Stegostoma tigrinum: one gene and its partner. The protein of the gene in region 2 interacts with the protein of the main gene of each other region in a pairwise test. Links are inferred from orthologs where the notes say so. Each region holds a gene or a part of one and is shown on either strand. Other genes may lie near its edges.

What was found.
Region 1: the proteins of rchy1 (region 2) and gorab interact in a two-hybrid assay, tested with the Homo sapiens proteins (3 studies listed by BioGRID and IntAct). The link is inferred for Stegostoma tigrinum from reciprocal best matches to the Homo sapiens genes RCHY1 and GORAB.

What each region holds. Positions count from the first base shown.
Region 1 is NC_081361.1:47,132,283-47,142,913, reverse strand, and holds the start of gorab (RAB6-interacting golgin), read right to left. Parts: upstream 4,120-10,631; 5' UTR 3,999-4,119; coding exon 3,941-3,998; intron 1-3,940.
Region 2 is NC_081354.1:2,945,845-2,956,289, reverse strand, and holds the start of rchy1 (RING finger and CHY zinc finger domain-containing protein 1), read right to left. Parts: upstream 4,884-10,445; 5' UTR 4,836-4,883; coding exon 4,767-4,835; intron 1-4,766. UniProt on the Homo sapiens protein: E3 ubiquitin-protein ligase that mediates ubiquitination of target proteins, including p53/TP53, TP73, HDAC1 and CDKN1B. Mediates ubiquitination and degradation of p53/TP53; preferentially acts on tetrameric p53/TP53.

The DNA.
Region 1 (10,631 bases), on a different chromosome or scaffold from region 2:
GACATTCACAGCTTTTAAAAATTAGGTGGTGCGAAACCAACGGCAGATAATTTTAAAATGAGGTTTCAAAGCTCTCAGGTGATGTAGAAACAAATGTTACTTTGTTTTTTCTGTTCAACATGTTTCAAGAAAATCGACTGCTGCAGAATTACATCCAGTACTTCTCCCTCAACTTACACCAGAAAATATTTGTAGGTCTCTCTCAAGACATTGCATGCAGAAGTGATGCTGTGCTTGTTATAACTTAATACATTTCAAAAGTAAGTGTTTAAGCCATAAAACCCTTATTGGATGAAGAAATAAAATCCCATTCCAGGAATTTAAAACACTATTTCAGCACTGACAGCACAGTATTTTTCAAAATTTCATCATTTAAGTTAAAACTTAAGCTAAGTTAAAACATGTCTGTCCTTTAAGAGCTGCTCTTGAGGTAGGGGTGATTGTTAACAAAGCAGAAATACTTCCTGGTCAATGTCTGCACTTCAAATGTCCTTCATTGGCTGTCAAGTGGTATGGTGTATTGTGCAGTCATGAACAGTTCTATACAAATGGAAAATCTTTCAAGTTTCCCCTTTATTACCCATTGTCCTTTTATGAAGTATCATCTACTTGTAAGCAGGCCTACAACAGCAGATACTTTCCCAAGGATATTAGGAGGTGAACTTGTACAACATTTGAAAAAATACTTTTTCTGGTGTTGTTGTAAATTCAGATTTAAGATTAATTTTACAATCATTAGTACACCATATTCATTCATGCAGAACGCTGTGATGCTATTCAAAGATGTGCGAGAAAATTCTAGCCAATGGTTACAGCATGGCAAACCTACAAAGTTTTAACTAGGTGATTCATCTCAAGGCAGATTATGAACCCTCACCATGCACATATTCTTGTGTCCTGTTTACATGAATTAGTGACCACACTTCAAAATCACCTAATAAGGACTTTGAGGCCTGTCCTTCATGAAACAGGCTATATAAATGCGAGCTCTTTCTTTCTAGAAGTAACTAATTGAGAGCTATCACATTCAGGACTTCAGTGATGCCAGACCATCCAACTTATTCTTAATCAATCATATTTACAGTTTGCTTTGCTAGCTATGGAACAGTAGAATAATGGCAACGGATCCCAGCCATACCATCCTGAAAGCACAATAAGCAACCTCTATCAGAGCTGATGGCCAGCCAGACAGACAGACCAAGGAAGAAAACCTCTAATAACAGCTATAGAAATATCAGAACGGTTATAAAAGACAGATGGCTTTTGGTATGTCATGTTTGTGTTGGGCCTCTGAAGGGGCAATTTACTTCATGTCACTTCCCTGCTTCTTCACTTAGTCCTGGAAATTTTACCATTTCAGATATGGATTATAAATATGGGCCAAGTGCAGGCAGGTGGGATTAGTTTAGTTTGGGATTATGGTTGGCTAGACTGGTTGGACCAAAATTTGTTTCCATGCTGTAGACTGTGATTCTATCACAATCTAATAATCTTTGGAAAGCCTAATTTGCCAATACCTCCAGAATACTCACAGGTAAGGTAATCCACAGCCTAGCCACTCACTACAGGATTAAGGTTTTACTCACGTCAAACATTGCTTTCAGTTATCTTAAATCTGCACGGTTTCTCAATCCTGCCATTGGAAATGCTTTCTCCTCATCTACACTGGAGAGGGCCCTTATGATTCTGAATACCTAATATCAAATCTCCTCACCTTCACTTTCTCTTAACCAAGGATCCTATCCAATTGTATCCAGTTCATCCAACTGAAGTATCTCATCCCCAGAGCCATTCTTGTAAATGTTCTGCACCCTATCTAATGCCTTCATATCTTTTAAGTATAGTCGACACAATTCTACAATTGAGGGCAAACCAATGTCTTATATAGATTTCACATAACCTCCTGCTTTTGTACCCTACCCTTTTGATAAACCCTAAAGGCATCATAGATATTTTCTAATCATAGAACCATCACAGAATCACAGAACCCCTACACTGTGGGAGCAGGCCATTTGGTTGACTGAGTCCAAACCAACCCTCCAAAGAGTATCCCACCCAGACCCAACCTCCAACTCCGCATCCCCACTGCCAATCTATCAAGCCTGAAACATCAAAGAAGCACATCTTTGGACTGTGGGGAAAAAAAACAATGTAGACATGGAGAGAACGTACATACCTCACACAGACAGTTGCCCGAGGGTGGAATCAAGCCTGGGTCTCTGGAGCTGTGAGGCAGCAGTGCTAACTGCTCAGTCACCTGCCGCCCCATTCAATCAACCCATTATTACATATAGATATATAATCACTCATTCAATTTTACACAGTCTTTACATATGTAGACAAACAAACCCAAGGCACTTCTCACTTATTCAAGACTATATTTACATGCATTTGAGGTACCGGGAGGGTCCAATAACTAAATGTACTTCAGCAGAAAAACCTTAGACAGCAATGTTTCCCCACTGCACTTTGGCAGCAGCTGCCCCAGGCTTTAATGCATCCCTTAGCATGTAGCCCTGGACCTTAGAACATATGGAACATGCCAGTTCACACGTGGGCAAGGTCAACTGCTGCTCTGGAAGCCAACAGGTTATGGGCAGACCAAGGACAGTCTTTCACCAAGATGACAGTTCTCCAGGTGCAGTCAACGATCACCTCAGTGTGTGTCCTGGCCAATAATTCATAGTGCACATGATTAACCTTGACAAAAACCACTGCATCTCTCTCCAGACTTTCTTTGTCCAGGCACATTCCAGTAGATGCATAACAGTCTCTATTCCAAACAGCTGCTTCAGGGGCAGTGTGCAGAGGCACAGACAGTCCAGGCATACATGTAGGATCTCACAATTAGTGCCCCTAACATACTTTTTGGACAAATACAATGTGAACCCCAGCTTTCTGGCTCAGATGTAAGGATATTAGCAATGTACCACAAGTGTCCATTGAGATATAATGGGCTTTATCAGCCATTTTCTCAACCTACCTTGCTATCTTCCACAACTTATGTACACCTACATCCAGGTCACCTTGCTTCTATACCCTACTGAGAACAGTACTCATGTCATTGCTCGACCAAAACGATTTACATTATACTTCCTGCATTAAATTACAACTGCTGCATACTTATATGAAGTTTTTACCATGATGAGATTTATGTAAAATCATGCAACTGATCACATGATTGACTTCAGTAATCAAAGAACAAATACAGCACAGGTACAGGCTCTTCAGCCCTTCAAGCCTGCACTGTCATTTTCAGTACAACACCAGTTTAAATTGAGCATGAGACAGTCTCAGTTTTTATAGAAAATAGCCATTTTTGATAATCTAAATACACAAATCTGCACACAACCATATTCCATGATACTTAGGAGGTACCTCAATGACAATGTAGCCTTAAAGCACAAGATCAAGTTTGCACCATCCTCCAGGTGCTTCATACTTTCAAGCTGTGTATCATTTGTGTTCTGTAGCAACAGTCTCAGTCATTAATGCATCAGGAGGATTATGAAATCCTAACAACCCACGGTGGAATCGCCTTCTAAGCGTTTCGCCAGTCTTACAGGAACTATTCGCCATTAATACACCCTTTGTATGTCACTAAGCCAATCTTGCACCCATATTAATACACACATTTATAGTTTAAGAGAGTCTGATGAGTAGGAGTACACCAAAACAATGTTGGATATCCAAATACACGACATCAAGATTATCCTCCATCTCTTCGGTACCTCTTCAAATAAAAAACCTCCAAGCTCGTTAAACAAGACTTGACCTTGCGAAACCCATGCTGACTTTTTAGCTCATCCACACTTATTCAGGTCATGATTAATTCTGGCCAGCGTTTCTGTTTCGAAAAAGTTTCCCCATCACTCTCCTGTAACTGCACCCCAAAATCAGAATCATCATTCAATTCTTACATCACGATTCCTTCTTTTACCTTTTAGTTGCTTTATGCGTGTTAATTCCTCATCCGAAAATCCTGCCCAACCAGCCATACCTTACGCAAAACAAATAAACTCCCCCGCCCACCCTCAAAAGGGACACCGACTACAACGCTAAACAAGGCCTACTCTCTCCGACCGACAACAGTACCGAACCACTACGCATGCCCACAGGTGACACGTGGCACCCAAGCTAATACGCTTGCGCATTATCGGCTCCTCCTTCTAAAAACCACCGGTTCGCTCCGCCTGGCGACGTAAAGGCGGGGCTTCTGGGCCAGACCTGCACGTGACACCGGCTGTCAACCAGCGACACGTGATAGAGCCGTTGATGGAGGTGCATGTCATTCGTACTACCTTTGATAAGCTGAACGGCGAGGTGGGAGATAACAAGAACTGGAGATGTCGGAGTCGAAGTCAACACTGTGGAGCTGGACGAACACGGCAGATCAGGCAGCAAAGGAGATGTAGGGTTAACCAGCCCAGTTCGTACCCTCCCCCCACTGCATCCCAAAACCAGCCCAGCCTGTCTCTTCCTCTCACCCATCCCTTCCTCCTATCTCAAGCCGCACCTCCATTTCCTACCTACTAACCTCATCCCACCTCCTTGACCTGTCCGTCTTCCCTGGACTGACCTATCCCCTCCCTACCTCCCCACCTATACTCTCCTCTCCATCTTCGGTCCACTTCTCCCTATTTATTCCAGAACCCTCACCGATGAAGGGTCTAGGCCCGAACCGTCAGCTTTTGTGCTCCTGAGATGCTGCTTGGCCTGCTGTGTTCATCCAGCTCCACACTTTGTTGACGTTTCGGGTCGGGACCCTTCTTCACAAATAGGGAGGTGATAGGCCACTTCTGTACTGCAGCGGGTCTGGCCGACCAATCGATGTGGTTAACAGCTTGAAAATCATGTGAGAAGGCTGAAATTTTTTAAAAAATGCAGAAAGTGCTGGAGAACTCAGCCGCATCTTTGGAGAGAGAGAAACAGAGTTAACGACTTAAGTAGTATCAGAGATAATGATAATCTCCCCTTCCCCTACTGCATCCCTAAACCAGCCCAGTTCGTCCCCTCCCCCCACTGCACCACACAACCAGCCCAGCTCTCCCCCCCCCCCCCCCTGCATCCCAAAACCAGTCCAACCTGTCTCTGCCTCCCTAACCGGTTAATCCTCTCACCCATCCCTTCCTCCCACCCCAAGCCGCACCCCCAGCTACCTACTAACCTCATCCCACCTCCTTGACCTGTCCCCTCCCTACCTCCCCACCTCCCCACCTACACTCTCTCCACCTATCTTCTTTACTCTCCATCTTCGGTCCGCCTCCCCCTCTCTCCCTATTTATTCCAGTTCCCTCTCCCCATCCCCCTCTCTGATGAAGGGTCTAGGCCCGAAACGTCAGCTTTTGTGCTCCTGAGATGCTGCTTGGCCTGCTGTGTTCATCCAGCCTCACATTTTATTATCTTAACGACTTAAGTACAATTTCCAGTATTTGGCGTTCGTTTTATAGAACGGATTCGGCTCAGAGGGCATCAATTCAAACCAGCTTAAAGAAAGCAAACCTAACATTATGAGCTATTTTCTGAGTGATCTCGCCCGAGAATTTTAAAAACGTAACGCGTGTATATCTTCGATAGCTGTGTTAAATATAAAATGGAACAGAATAGGACTGAAGATGCATGCCGTCGTACTACATCTGGTTTAAAGTAAAGTACCTAAGTGATGTGAATGTTTTAGTGATCATAGGAACTGCAAATGCTGGAGAATCTGAAATAACAAGGTGTAGAGCTGGATGAACACAGTCGGCCAAGTAGCATCAGAGGAGCAGGATGCCACCCTGTCCCTGTAAACCTGCATTTCCCATGGCTCATCCACTTTCAGCAAAATCCTGGACACTATGGTCAATCCACCTAACCTACCCATCTTTAGACTGTGGGAGGAAACCAGAGCACCCAGTGGAAACCCAATCATGACTCCATCGTCTACTCCCCGCTCCCTATCAACCCTACCACACCTGGCACCTTTCCCTGCGACCACAGGAAGTGTTACACTTGCGCTCCCACTCCCTTGGTGATCTGTCCATCCTGGGTTGCCTCCAGTGTCATAATGACACCACACGCAAACTGGAGGAAGAGCACCTTATATTTCACTCTGGAGCTTACAGCCCAATGGTCTCAACATAAAATTTGCCAGTTCCAAAATCTCTCCACCCCTGGCATCATCCCATGTCCAACCCTCCCTTTCATGCCTGCCTCTTTGACCTGACAAAACCTGTCCATCTTCTTTCCCACCTATCTGCACCACCCTTCCCACTGACCAATCTCTACTACCCCCTACTTGCATCCACCTATCAGCAATCCACCTAGTTTTCTCCAGCCCCACCCCATTTCCTCTTTTTATTTCTGAACTCCCTTCCTCATCCCCAATCCTGGTGAGGGGTGTAAACCCAAAACGTTGGCTTTGCTGCTCTTCTGATGCTGCTTGACCTGCTGAGTTCCTCCAGCTCATTGTTTCCTCAAATTATTTTGGACAATGAGGAAGTTCTCAAAAATTGCGATACATTATTGAATTACCTTCCAGAGGGAAGTTGAAAAGACCTGAGTTATTACAATTGCATTGGGACATATGTGCATATAAACTGGGAAGTACTAATTTAACAATGCATGACATGGAAATGGCATTCAATTCCAGCAACATCTTTATTGACCTAACACTGTAAATTTGGCACAGATTCAAAAAGAGATTGAATGCTTGCTTAAGGACAACAAAGTCAAAATACGTTGCGGCGACTGGAGCCCATTCACTGAAATGGTGCTAAAACCAGATGGTAGCCAAGAATTATGGGTAGAATATTGTGAAGTCAATGCAGTTACAAAGCCTTATTCGTATCCTATTACACATTAGGAAGAATGTATTGAGAAGGTGGGACATGGGACTTATATTTCAAAGTTGGACTTACTCAGAGAATACTGGCAGGTACCTTTTATCTGAAAGAATGAGGACTATTTTGGCTTTCGTGACCCTGAATGGATTGTAGCAATTTAAAGTCATGTCATTTGGTATGAAGAATTCTCTGGTCACATTTCAAAGACTAATGAATAAAGTTATTTCTGGATTACCTGATTGTGTGGTGTGCATTAATGATTATTAGTCACACATGGAAGGAACATTTGCACCATTTATCGGAATTTTTCAATCGACTTCGGAGGCAGGCTTGGTGATAAACTGGACTAAGAGTGAATTCACAAAAGCTGAAGCCATTTTCCTGGGCCATGTTATCAGACATGGACAGATGCCCCCATGGGGTGTGAAAACAAAGGCTACTGGCGAGTTCCCTTACCATCGACGAAGACTGCAGTACTATGATTCCTGGTTTTGACTGGGTTTTATGGGAAGTTTGTACCAAATTTCAGTAGTGTGGTTGTAACACTGACTGACCTAATGAGGAAGTGCAGAAAATTTCAGTGGAGGACGGACTGTCAGAAGGTATTTAACAGCCTGAAAGCTGTGTTAGCCACTATCCCAGTGTTAGCCACACCTAATTATGCAAATCAATTCAAGGTGGTTATTGATGTGTGTGCTGTGGGTGTTGGTGCTGTATTCTGACAAGAAGATTGACTTCTTGGGTGTTTTCTCCAGAAAATTGAATACCCATCAACAGAAGTGTATCATGACTGAGCAGGACACCTCGTGTTAGGGTCCAGGCTACCTTCGTAAAATATTTTGAAAGAGTCTGGTCTGGTCCATAATACCGTAAAAATACGTGTCCTGTAATGTGCAGATAACTGTTGTCATTGATTATCGTAGACCATACTTGTAAGCCACTTTGTATCTCTTCAATTCTGTATACTAGTGACTCAGCCTGCTCTTGAATTTTGCTAAAACATTAGTTATATTAAGTAGACCAAATTAGTTAAATATTCCTATTAAGGGATAGACTCTGGAATGTGTTGAGCATATTCCATACCTTTAAAGGTCACCATTGATGAGATTCAACACTGGAACAGTTAAAAACCAAAAGAACTGCGGATGCTGTAAATCAGGAACAAAAACAAAGTTTCTGGAAAAGCTCGGCAGGTCTGGCAGCATCTGTGGAGGAGAAAACAGAGTTAAAGTTTCAGGGCCCGTGACCCTTCCTCAGAACAGTTAATGCCAGTTCAAACTGTTCTTCCACGAACTATTGTTTTGAGAACAAATAAATGTCAGAAAATAAACAGTAGTCTTCATGTCGAGAACAGCAATTACCATTACATTTGTATAGTGCAGTGAGAGAGACCTTGACCATGTAACAGTAACAGACAATGTCCAAAAGCAATATCAGTGCATTCTCTAGATTCAATGACAATATTGTTGACCAAAACCTAGCGTCATCCTTGCAGCCAGCTCATAAACAATCAGGCAAACACATGCAAAATCAACTACAGTGGGCTGGTCATCATGTTTGCATGGTTGAAAAGCACTTCATCTGACTGGTCCATCATTCCATGGGAGAACCAAGAAAGTGCTTCAAATATGTTTGCGAGTACTATTTGAAGTGCAACAGCATTGACATTAATGACTGCATACAGCTTGCTATCAATCATTTAAAATGGTGACAACTTGTTCATGAGGTTCCCTTGTGCTTTGAGGCAAAGCATCTTGTAACAGAGAAGGAAAGAAGGGAGCAACTCCTGTATTCCAGATCCTGTTAACGCTTGGAATCTCACACCTCATGTGTTCTGTTATAATCTCAGTTGATATTACTATTGGACAAATCAGGTCTCAGATAGAAATCTGGCTTGGTAGATCATATTTTGATTTGTTTTGGTTTTAACAAAGTGATCTCTTGCTAGAACATAAACACGCATTGCTGCAGATTTGCTTTAACAATAAAACAGATGTTTACTAGCAAAACAAATTAAGATGTAATAAGATGAACCAAAGCATCTACTTCTAACATCAAATTAAAGATTTTTAAACATAGTCAAAATATAATCCCATTAATCCCAAACCTCTCCTTCATAAATTGAAAGAAACAAAACAGCTTTTGCATAGTACCCTAAATACCATTTGTGCAATGCTAACTCCAGAGTCCTTACATCTAAAACCTCGATAGTTTTAAGTCACTTGTGACTCCAACTTTTAGACGGAAACTGCAAAGGGATCCAGGAAGAAGTCATTATACACCCAAACTTCAATGTACTCCACTTTAAGTCACCTCTTCAGGGTTTTATCTTAACACTTCTAATCTGGCATTAACTCTAACTGTTCACCTTTAAGGTAATCTAGTTTACTATATACATCCCAGGAGTACTGGCCTGTATAGCTTTCCTATTCAAAGGACTGCGCAAAACCGCTCAATACTGGAACTAGAAGTATCCCTCTGTAAAGTACGGGTTCTTTCATTAAGCTTTAAAAGAAAGATGTTCTAGAAATTTCAAACAAACCTTGAGGCCAATGTTCCCTCTTAGCTGCGTGACTGCACATGGATAACGAAATGTGAGGCTGGATGAACACAGCAGGCCCAGCAGCATCTCAGGAGCATAAAAGCTGATGTTTCGGGCCTAGACCCTTCATCAGACTGCACATGGACCTTGGTGGCTCACACAGCTAAAAAGAGAATTAGAGGGAACACTACTTTGACATCCCATTATCTATCTTGCTGGGTCCCAAAACAACCTAAGATAGATTTTAAAAACTCATTACTGGTGCACACAAACACATTCATTTGAAAGCCAACCTTAAAAGCTGTTAAAAGAATTCTCAACTACAGAAATACTTGCATGTTAATTATTAACTTGAGATGCACAGAAAACTCACAGGTTATTAACTCAAAAGCCAGAACCCCAAACTTGCAACATAAACATTAAATATCTATTTATACATCCATAGTTTGTATCATTGCACATATATCTGTGGATTGAGAATCAGCCTATTCAGTTGCATGAAGATCAAGGGAAGAAACTCATGTCCCTAAATAGATGCCATCCTGGAATCAAGAAATCACTGATGCCTGCCTCTCACAGTTTATTTTGTGAACATAGCAGTAAGAAGCTTCCCCATTCCACAGCATATAGGTATAGACCTGGTGTTGCTGATGGGGGGTAGTTCTCATGTTTTGACCCAGTGTCTGTTCTTTTATTGAATAATTTGCTGCTACACTGAGTTTGGGTTGGACACAGCCTGGCTGAGGAGAAGGGAAAGTCAAGAACTATCTTAAGGCATGGAGTTAAAAGTATCACTTCTTATTCTACATTCATTCTAAATACTGCAATATAGGATAATTATAGATACATATGACTTAGATTACTCATTACCTAGTTTATATATGTTCCTGTATATACAAGTCCACGTACTTATGGATTTTCTAGTTTTGGTTGCTATTCTAGTAATGCTCTTCCAGAGTGTTCAGTGTGTTCTTATGGTATCCACACTGTGCTTTTTATCCTTTTGATGTGCAGCTCCATGACATCCTTGCAAGATTGCTCCAAGATCCCGAAGCCATTACACGATGACAGTGAGTATTGTAACCCATTTCACAAGCCAAGATGTGTGATTTGGAGGAGAACCTGCACATATTCAGGTGGTGAAAGTTTTAGGTTTAGAAGCTGCTGAAGAAGGAGGTTTGGTGTGTTCCTGCTGTGCATTTCATTGACAGTCAACACTTCTTCATTGCATTGGTAAATAGGGTGCTAATCAATTTGGTTATTTA
Region 2 (10,445 bases):
GGACAAAGAATTCAGAGATATTGTAGTTTTTAACAGATAAAGAGCACAGCATTGTAGGCTTCTTTTGTCACTTTCCAAGACGAATTAAAAATTCACCAAGAGCTTGCAATGCACAGCTCAGTCTTTGACGTGTTTACTTAATTTGTTGAATGTGGTAAAACAAATCTCTATTTTGTGATGAAGTAATTAGCCATTGCCTTTTCAGCAGCTTCTATTAAAAATTAAAGCTAGCCAGTTTCGAGATTTAACTAATCCCCATTTACAAGAAAGTTGAAGTCAGAGGAATAAAACACAGTAAAATTCAATGCTAAAAATGAAAAAGAATAAATCTAAAGGATAACACACGGAAAATTCATAGATCTATTGTACAACGCAACTAGTGGCTTAACTCTGCTACTGTCTAACATGCCACCAAGGCAATTAAGAAAATGGGCTTTTCATTAAACATTTGTGAACAAAGGTCCTGTACTAAATTGGCTCCACTACTGTGCACGGCCCCCCGTTATCAAAGTCCAAGAGACAGCCTTGGGCAACATGGATCACTTTCTTTATCCTGGGAGCCAACTGACACCAATGGCAGACATCAACACTGAAATTTAAAAACACCTTCAGTGTGTCAGGATAGGCTTCAATGGATGTGAAGCATTTATATCTTTAGAAGGCTTTTGATAGCATGTCACACAAGAGGCTAGTAAACGAAATTAAAGCACATGGGATTGGGAAGAACATATTGGCATGGATAAGACTTGATTAACAGACAGAAAGCGAACAGTAGGGCTGAACCAACAAGTCTCAGGGGGCATTACTTTATTTGTGAAGCAAAGTATATGTCAGTGCTGGGTCCACGACTGTTCACAATTGATACAAATGATCAGTACCTGGCGACCAAATCTCGAAATTTGCTGACAACACCAAATGGGAACACAAGCTGTGAAGAGGCTGCAAGGAAGCTTCAAGAGGATGCGGCCAGGCTAATCTGGGCTAGAACATGGCAGGGGAAATATTATGTGAGTAAATGTGAAAGTATTCACTCTGGTAGAAACAACAAAGATGAAAATATTTAAATAGTTGAGACAATGGGACATAATGGGGTTTCAAACGGATCTGGATGTCTGTGTCCACAAGTCACTAAAAGCATGCGGATGAAACAAGCAATGAGAGGTGATGCCAGTGAAATTTACAAAATTCTTACAGGGCCATGACAAGCTGGATGTACATAGGATGTTTCTCCTGGTTGGAGAGTATAGAACCAGGGAGCATAATCTCAGAAGGTATACGCCATTTAAAACTGAAATGATGGGGTATTTTTCCACTCATAAGGTGGAGAGCGCTCAGTCACTGAGCAGTGTAAAGACAGAAATTAATAGCTTTCTGCAGACTAATGACAGCGAAGAATGTGAAGAGTGTGCAGGAAAGTCATATTGAGGTAGTTCAAGGAGTAAACCACTCTTGTTTCAACAGGTAGCCACACCATTAGACCTTCACCTGAGGCCATCTCCTGACCATTGAGAACACAGCATTTTATATTTCTCACTGTTAGTGAAGTAAGGTATGTTCATTAGGATAAATGGTGAATAGAATATGACATCTTAGAACCTACTTAAATCAGGTTCCAACTGGCCCTCCCTGTTTGAAGGAGGGAAGATGGCCCTGGTGTGTAGTTGATTAGGTGTGGGATGTCAAGCACAGTTGGCTGGGGAAGGAAGGAGGCTACAGCGTGTCTCCAGAATTGCATCTACAACACTTAGCCCCATCAAGAGACAAGAAATATTTGCAATTTTTAAAATTCATTTATGGGGTGTGGGATTGCTGGTCAGACAAATTTTTTGCACATCCCTAATTGACTAGAGGGCAGTTAAGAGTCAACCACATTGCTGTGGGTCTGGAATCACATGTAGGCCAGACCATGTAAGGACAGCAGATTCTTTCTGTAAAGGACATCAGTGAATCATATGTGCTTTCTGTCCCCCCCACTGACAATTGGCAACACTTTCATGGTCATCACCAGATTCCTAATTCCAGATTTTTATTGAATTCAATTCTGTCATAGCAGGATTCGAACCTGGGTCCCTTGATTGTTTCATGGGTTTCTGGATTATAAGCGTAGAGTTTGTACCACCAGACCATTATCTCCACATATAGTGCTTTTCACAACATCAGGAGATCTCAGTGCTTTACAGCCAACTTCTATAACTCAGATATACTATTTCAATGTTATCAGCTCTGGTCAATAAGAACACAGAAATTAGAAACTCAAGTAGGTCATCTGGCTCCTTTGAGCCCACTTTGTCATTCAATATGGTCACAGGTGATGTACCTGTGGTTGTGGCCTCAACTTCACTTTCCTGCCTGTCTCCCACAAGCCTACAGTCCCTTATTGATCAACAATCTGTTTAACTCGACTACTGATACATTCAACAATCCAAACTACAGTGCTCAATGGCAAACCAAATTCCACAGGTCATGGCTTTGAGAAATGTCTCCTAATTTCTGTCCTCAATGGGAAAATCCTTATTCAGAAACTATATTCTCTAGTTCTAGATTCCCCTATAAATTGAAATATCCTCTCAACATCCAGCCTGCCACGTCCCCTCAGAACTGTACAAGTATCAACAAAAGGCTGTTGACTGATAAGGTGACATTTGAGACGATTCCTTCATTTGCAGAGGATACTAGGACTACATAGGGCACAGTTTAAAATGTTGGTATTTCCCATTTTGTAGAGTCATCTGGCCGGTTAAGCCTGCCCCACCATTTAATAAGATCATGGCTGATCTTTTTGAGACTCATCTCCACTTACCCGCCCACTCACCATAACCCTTAATTCCTTTACTGTTCAAAAATTTATCTAGCCTTGCCTTAAAAAACATTCAGTGAGGTAGCTTCAACCACTACACTGGGCAGGGAATTCCACAGATTCACAACTCTTTGCATGAAAAAGCTCCTCTTGGGCCTCAGTCATATATCTGCTTCAATATAAAGGAAAGCAATGCCCTCTAGTCCTAGTTTCACCTGCTCGCAGAAACAACCTCCCTGCCTCCACTTTATCTATTCCCTTCATAATCTTGTGTTTCTATAAGATCTCTCCTCATTCTTCTGAATTCCAATGAGTATAATTCCAGTCTACTCAGTCTCTCCTCATAATCCGAACCTCTCAACTCTGGAATCAACCAAGTGAATCTCCTCTGCACCCCCTCGAGTGCTCGTATATCTCTTCTCAAGTAAGGAGACCAAACGGCCTCACCAGGACCCTAGAGAGCTGCAGCATAGCCTCCCTGTTTTTAAACTCCATCCCTTGAGCAACGGCAGACAAAATTCCATTTGCCTTTTTAATAACCCACTGCACCTGTAATCCTACTTTTAGCGATTCATGTACAAGGACACCCAAGTCCCTCTGCACAGCACCGTGCTGCAATTTTTTACCATGTAAAACATAGTCCATTTTGCTGTTATTCCTACCAAAATGGATGACTTCACACTTATCAACAGTGTACTCCATCTGCCAGACCTTTTTACCACTCACCAACTATCTACATCCCTCTGCAGACTTGCAGTATCTTTTGCACACTTTGCTCTACCGCTCACCTTAGTGTCATCTGCAAATTTTGACACACTATACTTAGTACCCAACTCTAAATCATCCATGTAAACTGTAAACAATTGCAGTCCCAACACTGTTCGCTGCGGCTCAGCACTAGCCACCGACCAAACAAAATAAAAACACCCATTTACCCCTGCTCTTTTCTTTCTACTGGTCAACCAATCCTCTCTCTATGCCAATACATTACTTGCCTTCTGGAAATCCAGATACACCACATCCACAAGTTCCCCATTGACTACCATGCAAGTAATGTCCCAAAAGAATTACACCAAATTAGTTATACGTGACCTACCCTTCATGAACCCATACTGGGTGTTCCCAATGGGACAATTTATATCCAGATGTTTTCCTATTTCTTCCTAAATGATAGATTCAAATAGACTTATTCATGAACATATTCAATTTTTTAAAAACTCTAACAGTACCTACATCCACCACTACCTCCAGAGGTTCATTTCAAACATGAACCACTCCTGGTGTGGTAAAAAAAATTGTCCCTCATGTTTTTTTTAAATCTTTCTCCTCTCACCTTAAAAGTACAACCCCTTATGTTGAAATCTCTCACCCTGGGGAAAGACACCTGCTATTGACTTTATCTACAACCCTGGTGATTTTTATAAACCTCCATGGAGGTCACCTCTCAACCTCCCACACAATCCAGTGAAACAAGTCTCAGCCAATGCAGCCTCTTCCTTATATCTCAAACCCTCCCATTCCTGGCAACATCCTGGTAGAGCTCTTCTGAACCCTCTCCAGTTTAAATAATACCCTTCCTATAGCAGGGCGACCAGGACTAGGCACAGTATTCTACAAGAGATTTCTCAGAGGGTGAAGAATCTTTGGTTCTATGACTCGCTGAGGAAGAGAATTTCAGGGAATCCCTGCAGCATGGAAGTGGTCCATTCGGTCCATCGAATCAACACCAACCCTCTGAAACAGCACTGGCCCCGCGCATGGGGACACAGCCCGCACCTAATGCGATTTCTTGTGGTTTTAAACTTGAGGGGGATGAGGGAGTTCTCCTCGGCCAACACTATCGTTAAAGGTGGGGGAGGGAACCTGCAGTCTGGGATCTTCCTGTGCACTGATTAGGGTGGGGTGAACAAACGCAGGTATCCTCTCCTTCCCACCCAGATGTCCCGTGGGAGGTTGAGATCCCGCTTACCTGAAGCCTGCAGGAGCGGGTATAATGAGAGCATTTCAGGAGCGCGCACCCAGGCTCCAACGCCGCCATTAGGCCCCGTCACCTGGAGACGAATCGCGCAGCCGCAGTGCCGCCACCCCGCCGGCAGGGTGAAGGTGAAGGCGAAGGCGCAGGCGCAGGACCGGCCGATGGCGAGGAAACCCTGACGTTGTACGCAAACGTAAAACCGGCGGCGTGGAAGAATCATGGCAATGTGCGCAAGCGCAGGGCCGACGGCGTGGCGGAACCTGTACTGTGCGCAGGCGCGGAACTGGTTACAGTGAAAATGGATACAGAAGAGGGCGGGATTGATACATTGAATGGGAGAAGATTTTAGGTGTGTTAGGCTTTATCCAGTGCTGGGGAAAGATAAGGGTTATTCCTTTAGACTTACGTCCGTGTGGATAAAAACAAGATACTGGAAGTCTAAAATAAAGTTGTGTGTGGAATATTTCAGGATGAGACAGATTAGTGGCAATAGGACCCGCAGATGCTGTAGAATCTGAAATAACACAGTGTGAAGCTGGATGGACACAGCAGGCCAAGCAGCATTTCAGGAGCACAAAAGCTGACGTTTCGCCCAAAATGTCAGCTTTCCTGCTCCTGAGATGCTGCTTGGCCTGCTGTGTTCATCCAGCTCCACACCTTGTTAGTTGAGATAGATTCGTGATCGGTCAGGGAATGATGAATAATGGGGAAAGGGCAGAAAAATGGATGTGAGGAATGCCAGGTCGACCGTGATCCTGTTGAAATTCCGCAGAGTTTTGCGGAGCCGAACAGCCTATTTGTTATCATCCTTTGGTGTTATGCTTCTAATCACCACACTGTAGGAAGGACGTGTTTGCACTGGAGGGGTGCAGAGAAGATACCGCCCCCTCGATCATGACCCCACACCCGAGCACCAAACCATCATCTCCAACACCATTCACAACCTCATCACCTCAGGGGACCTCCCACCCACAGCCTCCAACCTCATTGTTCCCCAACCCCGCACGGCCCGTTTCTATCTCCTTCCCAAAATCCACAAACCTGTCTGCCCTGGTCGACCCATCGTCTCAGCCTGCTCCTGCCCCACCGAACTCATCTCCACCTATCTGGACTCCATTTTCTCCCCTTTGGTCCAGGAACTCCCCACCTACGTCCGTGACACCACCCACGCCCTCCACCTCCTCCAGGACTTCCAATTCCCTGGCCCCCAACACCTCATATTCACCATGGACGTCCAGTCCCTGTACACCTGCATTCCGCATGGAGATGGCCTCAAGGCCCTCCGCTTCTTCCTATCCCGCAGGCCCTACCAGTCCCCCTCCACCGACACTCTCATCCGCCTAGCTGAACTCGTCCTCACACTCAACAACTTCTCTTTTGACTCCTCCCACTTCCTACAGACTAAGGGGGTGGCCATGGGCACCCGCATGGGCCCCAGCTATGCCTGCCTCTTTGTAGGTCACGTGGAACAGTCCCTCTTCCGCACCTACACAGGGCCCAAACCCCACCTCTTCCTCCGGTACATTGATGACTGTATCGGCGCCGCCTCTTGCTCCCCAGAGGAGCTCGAACAGTTCATCCACTTCACCAACACCTTCCACCGCAAACTTCAGTTCACCTGGGCCATCTCCAGCACATCCCTCACCTTCCTGGACCTCTCAGTCTCCATCTCAGGCAACCAGCTTGTAACTGATGTCCATTTCAAGCCCACCGACTCCCACAGCTACCTAGAATACACCTCCTCCCACCCACCCTCCTGCAAAAATTCCATCCCCTATTCCCAATTCCTCTGCCTCCGCCACATCTGCTCCCACGATAAGACATTCCACTCCCGCACATCCCAGATGTCCAAGTTCTTTAATGACCGCAACTTTCCCCCCACAGTGATCGAGAACGCCCTTGACCGCGTCTCCCGTATTTCCCGCAACACATCCCTCACACCCCGCCGCCGCCACAACCGCCCAAAGAGGATACCCCTCGTTCTCACACACCACCCTACCAACCTCCGGATACAACGCATCATCCTCCGACACTTCCGCCATTTACGATCCGACCCCACCACCCAAGACATTTTTCCATTCCCACCCCTGTCTGCTTTCCGGAGAGACTACTCTCTCCGTGACTCCCTTGTTCGCTCCACACTGCCCTCCAACCCCACCACACCCGGCACCTTCCCCTGCAACCGCAGGAAATGCTACACTTGCCCCCACACCTCCTCCCTCACCCCTATCCCAGGCCCCAAGATGACATTCCACATTAAGCAGAGGTTCACCTGCACATCTGCCAATGTGGTATACTGCATCCACTGTACCCGGTGCGGCTTCTTCTACATTGGGGAAACCAAGCGGAGGCTTGGAGACCGCTTTGCAGAACACCTCCGCTCAGTTTGCAACAAACAACTGCACCTCCCAGTCGCAAACCATTTCCACTCCCCCTCCCATTCTCTAGATGACATGTCCATCATGGGCCTCCTGCACTGCCACAATGATGCCACCTGAAGGTTGCAGGAACAGCAACTCATATTCCACCTGGGAACCCTGCAGCCATATGGTATCAATGTGGACTTCACCAGTTTCAAAATCTCCCCTTCCCCTACTGCATCCCTAAACCAGCCTAGTTCGTCCCCTCCCCCCACTGCACCACACAACCAGCCCAGCTCTTACCCCCCACCCACTGCATCCCAAAACCAGTCCAGCCTGTCTCTGCCTCCCTAACCGGTTCTTCCTCCCACCCATCCCTTCCTCCCACCCCAAGCCGCACCCCCATCTACCTACTAACCTCATCCCACCTCCTTGACCTGTCCGTCTTCCCTGGACTGACCTATCCCCTCCCTACCTCCCCACCTATACTCTCTCCACCTATCTTCTTCACTCTCCATCTTCGGTCCGCCTCCCCCTCTCTCCCTATTTATTCCAGTTCCCTCTCCCCATCCCCCTCTCTGATGAAGGGTCTAGGCCCGAAATGTCAGCTTTTGTGCTCCTGAGATGCTCCTTGGCCTGCTGTGTTCATCCAGCCTCACATTTTATCATCAGAATGTTGCCTGGGATAGAGTGATCAGCTATGTAGAGAGGTGGGGATAATTAAACAAGGAACCATATTTTTTAAAAAAAACCAAAAAACTGCCAATGCTGAGAATCTGAAAAACAGAAATTGCGTGAGAATGCACAGTTAAAGGTCCAGGTCCAGTGACTCTTCACCAGAACTCAGTTTTTGCTCTGTTTCCACACTTAAATGCCAGACCTGCTGAATTTCTCAAAGAACTCAAGATGCTGGAGATCTGAAGCAAACTGTTCTGAGAGGCATAGAATTGGTAAATAGAAACATTTTCCCCTTTGGAGCAGAAAGTTTAGAGGGGATTTGAGGAATTTTCATCCAGAAGTTTGTATTTATGTGGAATTCATTCCTTAAAAGGGAGGTAGAGATGATATTTAAGAAATATTTAGATGAATACTTGAAACACCATGGCATACAAGGCTAGGGGCCAAGTGCTGAAAACTGGAATTAGAATAAATGATATTTGAAAACTGGCACAGGTGTGATGGCCTGAAGGGCCCTTTTCTATGCTGTAAAATGTTTTGATTCTAAAAACACAAAATTCTGGAGAAAGAGAGATGGTGGGAACTGCAGATGCTGGAGAATCCAAGATAGTAAAATGTGAGGCCGGATGAACACAGCAGGCCAAGCAGCATCTCAGGAGCACAAAAGCTGACGTTTCGGGCCTAGACCCTTCATCAGAGAGGGAGATGGGGTGAGCGTTCTGGAATAAATAGGGAGAGAGGGGGAGGCGGACCGAAGATGGAGAGAAAAGAAGATAGGTGGAGAGGAGTGTATAGGTGGGGAGGTAGGGAGGGGATAGGTCAGTCCAGGGAAGATGGACAGGTCAAGGAGGTGGGATGAGGTTAGTAGGTAGATGGGGGTGCGGCTTGGGGTGGGAGGAAGGGATGGGTGAGAGGAAGAACAGGTTAGGGAGGCAGAGACAGGCTGGACTGGTTTTGGGATGCAGTGGGTGGGGGGGAAGAGCTGGGCTGGTTGTGTGGTGCAGTGGGGGGAGGGGATGAACTGGGCTGGTTTAGGGATGCAGTAGGGGAAGGGGAGATTTTGAAACTGGTGAAGTCCACATTGATACCATTAGGCTGCAGGGTTCCCAGGCGGAATATGAGTTGCTGTTCCTGCAACCTTCAGGTGGCATCATTGTGGCAGTGCAGGAGGCCCATGATGGACATGTCATCAAGAGAATGGGAGGGGGAGTGGAAATGGTTTGCGACTGGGAGGTGCAGTTGTTTGTTGCAAACTGAGCGGAGGTGTTCTGCAAAGCGGTCTCCAAGCCTCCGCTTGGTTTCCCCAATGTAGAGGAAGCCACACCGGGTACAGTGGATGCAGTATACCACATTGGCAGATGTGCAGGTGAACCTCTGCTTAATGTGGAATGTCATCTTGGGGCCTGGGATGGGGGTGAGGGAGGAGGTGTGGGGACAAGTGTAGCATTTCCTGCGGTTGCAGGGGAAGGTGCCGGGTGTGGTGGGGTTGGAGGGCAGTGTGGAGCGAACAAGGGAGTCACGGAGAGAGTGGTCTCTCCGGAAAGCAGACAGGGGTGGGGATGGAAAAATGTCTTGGGTGGTGGGGTCGGATTGTAGATGGCGGAAGTGTCGGAGGATGATGCGTTGTATCCGGAGGTTGGTAGGGTGGTGTGTGAGAACGAGGGGGATCCTCTTAGGGCGGTTGTGGCCGGGGCGGGGTGTGAGGGATGTGTTGCGGGAAATACTGGAGACGCGGTCAAGGGCGTTCTCGATCACTGTGGGGGGAAAGTTGCGGTCCTTGAAGAACTTGGACATCTGGGATGTGCGGGAGTGGAATGCCTCATTGTGGGAGCAGATGCGGCGGAGGCAGAGGAATTGGGAATAGGAATGGAATTTTTGCAGGAGGGTGGGTGGGAGGAGGTGTATTCTAGGTAGCTGTGGGAGTCGGTGGGCTTGAAATGGACATCAGTTACAAGCTGGTTGCCTGAGATGGAGACTGAGAGGTCCAGGAAGGTGAGGGATGTGCTGAAGATGGCCCAGGTGAACTGAAGGTTGGGGTGGAAGGTGTTGGTGAAGTGGATGAACTGTTCGAGCTCCTCTGGGGAGCAAGAGGCGGCGCCGATACAGTCATCAATGTACTGGAGGAAGAGGTGGGGTTTGGGGCCTGTGTAAGCGCGGAAGAGGGACTGTTCCACGTAACCTACAAAGAGGCAGGCATAGCTGGGGCCCATGCGGGTGCCCATGGCCACCCCCTTAGTCTGTAGGAAGTGGGAGGAGTCAAAAGAGAAGTTGTTGAGTGTGAGGACGAGTTCGGCTAGGCGGATGAGGGTGTCAGTGGAGGGGGACTGGTCGGGCCTGCGGGACAGGAAGAAGCGGAGGGCCTTGAGGCCATCTCCATGCCGAATGCAGGTGTATAGAGACTGGACGTCCATGGTGAATATGAGGTGTTGGGGGCCAGGGAATTGGAAGTCCTGGAGGAGGTGGAGGGCGTGGGTGGTGTCACGGACGTAGGTAGGGGGTTCCTGGACCAAAGGGGAGAAAATGGAGTCCAGATAGGTGGAGATGAGTTCGGTGGGGCAGGAGCAGACTGAGACGATGGGTCGACCAGGGCAGGCAGGTTTGTGGATTTTGGGAAGGAGATAGAAACAGGCCGTGC